2 linked regions of the Struthio camelus genome follow. The protein of the gene in region 2 interacts with the protein of the main gene of each other region in a pairwise test. Links are inferred from orthologs where the notes say so. Each region holds a gene or a part of one and is shown on either strand. Other genes may lie near its edges. The genes, in order: OBI1 and TCEANC.

Region 1 (3,910 bases), about 35 Mb from region 2:
AATGAGTGGATGATATTACTGAATGAGTCTCTATTTAATACGTGTTTTTACCCTCTCACCGCTATGCATAGCGAAATATGTTAGTTGAAGTTTCTGGGTTACATCAAACCCTTTGCAAATTTTGCAGATTTATGAAGAGGTATTTTCCAATTGCAGGGTGGGCCTTAATATTAAGTGTGAAGCCTATGCTACAAACCACAGAAGTACTAGAACATGTCAGCCCTCCATTCCACTTTCTGCTCCTTCAACAGGACAAAAACTGCAAGACTGCTCCCTCAAAATTAAAACAAACAACCTTTTCTTCCTCCCAACAGAAAACAGAAAAGCTTTTCTTGTTGAAGTCTTTCAACAAAGTTTCAAGCTGCAGAGATTCGTAAGAAAAAATGCAGCCTGAGCAGCCTAACTTTGCCAAAGTTTTAACTTCAGGCATCTAAGAAGGAAAGCGTTCACTGACCTTAATTAGAGATGTCACCACAAGATTCACTTGTAATGTTAATATATAAGCTCAACGCAAGATATGAAGGAAGACGACTGTGGAAATCTTTTCCAGCTACAAACTCAGCTACATCAATTCCTAATCGGTTTCAGAATTAAAAGTGGAAGTATGAGATAGCGGCTTGAAATGAGACAACGGTTTCATAGCAATATATGAGTGAATACATAACAAAGCTATTAAGTGCTTAGATTACTTTGGAAATCACCTGGAACAGATTCAAATTAGCAATAAATTACCAGCTCGTTTTAATCTCCTTTTCAAAGAAAATCCACTCTTCATTACAGATAAAGTTAATTTGTGTTCTCCTCCCTTCACACTAAACAGGTAAATAGAAAAGGAGAGAGGACAACCACACTGGGGATGCCTTATTTGGTTTCTACAGAAAAGCCAAGAAATGCATAAACATGGTTGCTGAAAGCATTGTGCTCTGTCAGAGTTGAGACACTTGCGAAGAGCAGATGTCCGACTATTTCACCACCTATGCTACACCTATTTTGCACATCAAACACATCAATCCTTTTGTCATCTTATCATACAAGCAGCAAAGGTCTTGGAGTAAAGGCCAGGTAAGGTAGAAAGAAACAGGACAATAAATGCCTGAGCAGAAATAACCTTTATGTTCATATTTCCTCCCTTATAATTTCTGTTGTGTTTTGAGAGGTTTGTTTTGTTTTGGAGCACAGGGAAATTAAAAAAAGAGTAGAAATGGGAAAAGAGCAAAGAATCTGAGAAGCAACTTGTAACAGCTATTGGTTTTGGGGGCTTTTGGAGAAGAATAGACTAGCAACAGCCTTCCTCCTCCTGAGGGAGGAAAGGACTGAAATCCTCTCGAGTAAGAAAGAGGAAAATTAATTTTTTTCTCCAAACTGCTGGAATATTGTTCAATGATTTTTTTAATCCACTCAGTTACACATCTTTCTATTTACAAATTCTTTTTTCACTTGTCCTTTGTGATACAGCACCAGGCTCAAACACAAACTTACCCTACGTTTTAAAATATTTGAGCTCCTATAGACATCAGAGGCAGAAAAACCCCCTTAACTTGAAAGCAATGCAACCATATTTTGGAAGGTGGGGCGCTGACCGGGGGTGCCTGGGGGACCTGTGGTCTGCAGCCCTTGCTAGCAGTACCCTGGGGGGCTCCCGCCAAGGGCACGCACAGTCGCCACCATCTGAAAGGTGGCAACAAACCTTCCTGGCAACCCACCTGGAGACTGGATCTCCTCCCGCCTCCCCGGGAACAGGATGGCCCCTCCTGGATCAGGGATCCCAACCTACCCCGAGGCGGGATCCTCCCTGTTGGAGACAGGCTCACTCCTCCTAGGGACCAGACCGCCCACCCACTCCCGAGGGGAGTGGGGGGCCTCCCCTCTCGGGGGATCCTGCCCTGCTCCAAGGCGGGATGATCCACCCACTACCAAGGGAAATGGCCCTTCTTAGAGACAGGACTCTCCCTCTTCGGAGATCACCCCTCCGGCAGGTGGGATCCCCCCCTCCAGAGGAGATCACCCCTCTCGCAAGCGGGATCCCCCTCTCCCTCCGGAAATCACCCTTCCCACAGGCGGGATCCCCCCCTCCCCCGGGGGCGATCACCTCTCCCGCAGGCAGGATTCCCTCTTCTCTCCCCCGGAGGAGACCACCCTTCCCGCAGGGGAGATCCCCCTCTCCGCCCCCCGGGGGAGATCGCCCCTCCCGCAGGCGGGATCGCCCACCCCAACTTTCTCGCCAGCTCAGAACCGCAGCCCCCTTAAAGGGACAACGGCCGGTACGGGCGCGGCCTCGGGCCACGGCCGGGCACCTCCGAGCAGCCACCCTCGGGGGCGAGCCCGACCCCCAACCCCGCAGCACGGAGGCGACCCGCCCGCCCCATACCCCTACCGGGCCGCGCCTGGCCGGGAGGGAAGGAGGGGGGAAGGGCAGCGGCTGCCCCCTGGCCGGGGCTGGCGACAGCGGCGGCGGCGCCGTTACCTTCCCCAGGCAGATGTGGCAGGTGATGGGCAGCGTGAGGGACAGCGTCACGCTGGGCCCGCTCTGCGCCATGGCGGCGGCCGGGCCCCCGCCAGCACGGAAGTCCCGCGGGCGGCAACGGCAGAACAACGGCGAACCCCCCTCGCCAAACTCCCGAGTACGGCAAGCCAGCGAGGCCAACCTGCCGCGCCGGGCAAGGAACGGAGCGCGCGCGCGCGCGCGCGCTCGCGCTTTGGAAGCGTTCCCCTGGAGGGCGGGAGGGGAGCGGCAGGGAAGCGCCGCCATGGCGGCCCCGCCGGCCGCCTCTCACGTTTGTGCCCCTGTCGCTGCACCAAAGCACGCCTTCCCCCCCCCCCCCGCACCCCACCATCACCACCAGCGCAGGCAGCTTCCACTCTGGATCTCGGCCCCCCAGGCCGAGGCCAAGGGCTAGCCGCCCTGGCGAGGAGTGGGGGCCTCCCTGCCCCTCGGCCGTCCCGGCTGGGTCCGCGGCCCACGGGAGCCCTTCCTTGGGCAGCTTCTCGCCCTGGGGGTCTGCCAGCAGGAAGCTCCCCCCGGGGGGTTGGCAGTGGTTGTGGCCTAGGCGCAGCCTTGCTGAAAGGCAAGGCAGGTTTTTGGGTAGGATTCGGTGTGAAGCCGCCTCGCAGAAAGAGGTGCATGTGGTTGGGGAGGTCTCTTTTTTCCAATAAACCTTTTTCCTACTGTGAAATAAGGCCAACCGCTTAAACGCTATGAATTCCCCTGAGCCTACCTCTCCCAACTTTCCTTTTTTGAAATCATGCGACCACAGATGATAACATATCCCAGAATAAACTCCTAGGGCGCCATCACCCCTTTCCCCGCCGCTCGCCGGAGCCTCAGCTGCTCTTTCCCCGGGCACTGCTGCGGCAACTCTGCACCTCGGAGCGACCTCGTGTGTTGTGCCGGCCATCCTCCCGGTGCTCAGCCTCCAACAGGCACGTCTTGATGCTTGGCTCGAAGCGTTGCCTTTTGGTCCTGGTGGGATTGTCACAGTCTGGGCTGCTGCGGCTTGGAGGGCAGAAAAGAAATTGTGACTGTGGAAAGCCCCCAGACTCTGCAAGTGCCGTGCAGTAACACTTGCTGATGCTGGAGGGACGTTCCTGCTCTGATCCGTGGTAGCCATGGGGTCACATCCGTGACTGAAAAGCCAAGTGTGTTACTGCGCTTGTATCGCTGACTATCCACATCATCGCCTCTCAGTGTTGTGTTTTCCAGACTGCCTGACAGCAGCTGGAAAATGGTGCTGGCAGGACAGGGCTCTTAGGAGTCTCTTAGCTTGACCTCCAGTCCCAGGATTCCTGTAGTTTCTTGTAAGCGTGCCACAGCGCGCTGAAAAATTATAGAGCTGAGTGACTTAACACTGCACCACATGCTTAGAATGCTGAGCAGCTAATTCAAACAAGCGTAAAGTTGTGGATGCAATGA
Region 2 (3,910 bases):
CTTAATGAGGAAGGAAAATCTGCTGCCCTTACCAGGCTTAGCACAACTCTCTTCATTTGGCATCAGTACATATGCTGGAGCAAAAAAAAAAAAAAAAAGAAAAAAAGAAAGGACTAAAAATGGTACAGCTACACCTTGTGAGTGACAACTCTGACTTTCCTCACTGGTAACAACTAGCTGAGAATATTCTTTATGAATTAAACCACTTTTACTACAGCTGTTGAGTTGTAGACGTTCCAGCTGATGTTACAATGAAAGCACGCATCCCAACAGAGCTTTTACCTTGCTGAAGGCTTCTTTTAATAATTACTTGCAGGCTTAAATTCCAGTATACCACAACTGAAGTAAATGTTCTGTCTGCAGTGTCTTTTCATAACATATTGTGCTGAGAAAATAAATCAATACACTATAAAAATGAAACACGTAAATCATAAAATCTGTCGTGAACTTTTGAGGGTGACTAGGTATTTTTTGATCATTTGTTGAACGAACATACTTATTGCTTCAACGTTCAGTTTCTAGCTCAGCCTCAGCTCCACGCTACTTCCTTTTACCATTTACTTGTTGGGGATATAGTTACGTTAGATATCACTTTACCATTCTATTACAGGTCTTCCATTGAGAAATTAAATAACTTTTTCCCTTTAGAAACATATTCCTTTACATGCAGAAGAGCACATATGTTCCCCACTCCTTTACAAATAAATTATGTTACAAACAAAGCATATTTGTAAGATATTAACAACTTTTAAAAATTCTTCTGCTAAAATACAAAAGGGAATGCTTAATACATATAAAGTCTAAACATTTGAGAGCTTTCAACGATGCTTGACATATACCGATTGAAAACAGGAAGGATGTGACATACACTTGAAATGGATTTTTAAAGTCCTTAGTTATGAAAAACAAAACTACATTGCTGAATAAAAGTGTGAACTCTTTCATTCCATTCCAAATCGATGTCAGCAGTTGACTTATCTGAATACATCAATGCTGCGTGGAGACTAACACAATAAATCTCAAAAAAATTCCCACAGTACCATCAGCACGGATATTCATCCTGCAATTTTCAAGTTTAGCCTCTTCCGCAATGAGGATTACAGCCGCTCATGACAAATCACTAGGGTAATTACGACAGTGCAGAGAAGCAGCCCTGCCGCATGCATTTGGATAAAACCAGCTGACGTTTGCTTGACAGGAAAATCAACTGGAGACCACAGCTCACCTGGAGGGCTTAGGGAGTTGGTGTGTCTACCCCAGTGGCCGACCATCGGCACTGTAACGGGGGTGTCGGACACTAGTGTAAGACACTACATGCAAATCTGACTGCAAATTAGTTTGCGATCGCTCCCATAAAAACCGTGGCCCAGTGCAATTTCTAATGGATCCCACACAGGGATCTGAGGAGTGTGCTAACTCCATGCCTTTTATTTCAAATTCGCCATTAAAACTTCCTCAGAGGTCTTTCTCCCACAACTCCTCGGACGCTTCCCGCTGAAGTCGGGTCCGCTGCCGTATTGCTTAAGGGCAAATTTTTGCCCCCTTTCTCGGTCTCCTCGGCACGCCGAAGACAGACAGAAAAGCAAGCACTGACCTACCCACCACCACCACTAACTCCTCAGGAAACGCTTCCTGCGCCACGCCGTCCTTCACCGATTCTCCTTGGGTCTGCTCCTGCTCGCGGCCCCGCGCGGCCGGAGCCGGGGCCTGCCACGCCTGTCACCCCACCACGGAAGAAACGGGACCAGCCTGGCACCCGCCTCAACGCGCCACCCGGCGAAGCAGCGCGGACGGCTCCTCTCTGCGGGCGTCGGGGGCCGCCGCCGGGCGGGCCGAGCCCGCGGCCGCCGACGCCATTTCGGGGCGCTCCGGCGCCCCCGCGCCGCGCCGCTCGCTCCCGCCGCCCCCTCCTCACGGGCCGCGCTCCCAACGCCCGGAGACGGGCAGCAACGTCTCCCCGGCATCCCCTGACAGGCAGCGCGGGGGGAGCCTATGCGCCTCGCTGCCGCTGCCCTGGCGAAACGCACAGCTTCACCGACAAACCACCCCCCGGCACCGAGGCTGGCGCCGTTACCTCCGCGCCGGGCCTCAACATGGCGCCTCCCCCCCCCCCCGCCTAGCTCGCCGCTTCCTGCCTCCGCTGCGGGCAGCGCAGCCGCCGCCATCTCGTGCGGGGTCAGCGGCAGCCCGCTCCGCCCCGCTGGGCGCCGGCCTGGGTAGCGGGCCGTGGGTGCCGCTCTCAGACGGTGTGTTTCCCAAATAGCGGGGGAGAAAAAGGGCTTTGGCCCTGCTCCGTCCTGAGCCTTAGGGAAAAAAAAATTGTTAATGCGTAATTTTAAAATTTAACCTCCGTGTCGGTGTGTTCCTTCTCAAGCAAACGCAGCTAGTGCAAGCCGGTATGACACGTAAATGAGTATCCTGTGTGAAGCTAACAGGGGCAAAACCATTGTAAACCTTCCCATTTTTCAGCGCTGTGCTGCATTACTTTTAAGCATAAACAACTAGCTGGTTGAATGATGAATTGAGCTGTCGGTATGCACAGGGTTAAAGCTAAATATTATAAAGCACGCGTCACAGGGTAACAGCTTTTGGATATAATGACAGGTGCTGAACTTATTCAGCAGTCAACATCTAAAAGTTGATGCATTTTAGTCAAAGCTAATACGTTTGTTATTGACTTTTTATTGCTGTGCTTTCCCCTGTCACATATATTTTACATTGGACATTCAAAATGCTTGCCTAAAAGATTAATACACCTAGTCCGTTCTACAGCAAATGCAGAGGTGTACGGAGGAGTTTATCCCCAATTACAGTGGAAAAGCCGGGTCATTTCTTAAGACGTTTTTGTGTTTGTTTACTAATGAGGCCTTTGGAGCCCTCTGCTGACAATGAGGGCTCCTACCTGAAATCAACTTGCCAAATGCATTTTTCAACTTGAGTACCATATAAGGCAGACACACCTCTTCCCCTTCCCCCCTTTTTTACATAATAAACATCACCAGCACTAATCACAAAAGGGGAAAAAACCCTAGCATTATTGTATATGCTATTAAAAATGGTATAAGAATAAGCAAATTATTAAATCATTGTAATGAGCCAGTGAATCAGTGTTCTTTATTGCCTACTATTACAATGTGTTAAGCTGTCAGGGTCTGTGGAGTCTGAAGTGATGCAGTGATGCAGTGGTTGATTTGTACATTGATAACTGAGGAATCTTAAATGATTGCTAATTTCATGTAATAATTAACTCACCTCACAATTTATGTGTGTCAAGCTAACAAATTCATTAGTGATTGAACACACGCTGCAATGGTTAGTGTTGTTCCACATGGCTACATATTGCAGGCAAACAGAGACCACAGTTGAGATCTGGCTTCCTCCGTGCCTCCTCTCTCTGGCCCGTACAGCAACAAAGTGCGGGACAAGGCTTATCCCCGAGAGTCCATAGTATAACCAGATGAGAGGAGGCAAAGAACTTGGGACAGAGGAGGTGACTTTCCCGACCCCTCTCAGCAAACCGCTGACAGACCAGGAACACAGTCCAAGCCTTCCAAGTCCAAATACAGCACGTCATCCAATGGGCTATCTTACATGTATTTATGTTTTTCTGCAGCATGCGTATATCATTAGCTTAGCAGCAGCTGTCATTGCAGTATCCGAGACTTTCAGTTTAGTCTCAGTTTGAGGATCCCAAGAGAAGGCTCTCCGATGCTAGTTTTCTTTAACCTTTTTCTGTCTGCTAAGATTGCGAGTGTGGTATGTAGAGAACTCTTTACACCCTCCGCTTGAAAGTGCATTGCCCATGACAAAGACAGAGAGCTCCCTTGGCAGAGAGAAGCACAGGAAGGAGCACGACTCGCTGCCTCTCGCCATTACCCCTCTTTGAGCAGGGCTCAGAACACAGGACGTC

What was found.
Region 1: the proteins of TCEANC (region 2) and OBI1 interact in binary tests that used the Homo sapiens proteins (3 or more experiments, as listed by UniProt). The two-hybrid records come from large-scale screens. The link is inferred for Struthio camelus from reciprocal best matches to the Homo sapiens genes TCEANC and OBI1.

Annotation. Positions count from the first base shown.
Region 1 is NC_090942.1:175,961,471-175,965,380, reverse strand, and holds the start of OBI1 (ORC ubiquitin ligase 1), read right to left. Parts: upstream 2,786-3,910; 5' UTR 2,750-2,785; coding exon 2,465-2,749; coding exon of another isoform or gene 2,375-2,464; intron 1-2,374. UniProt on the Homo sapiens protein: E3 ubiquitin ligase essential for DNA replication origin activation during S phase.
Region 2 is NC_090942.1:140,518,640-140,522,549, forward strand, and holds the start of TCEANC (transcription elongation factor A N-terminal and central domain-containing protein), read right to left. Parts: upstream 2,276-3,910; 5' UTR 2,166-2,275; coding exon 2,075-2,165; exon of another isoform or gene 2,028-2,074; intron 1,882-2,027; exon of another isoform or gene 1-1,881.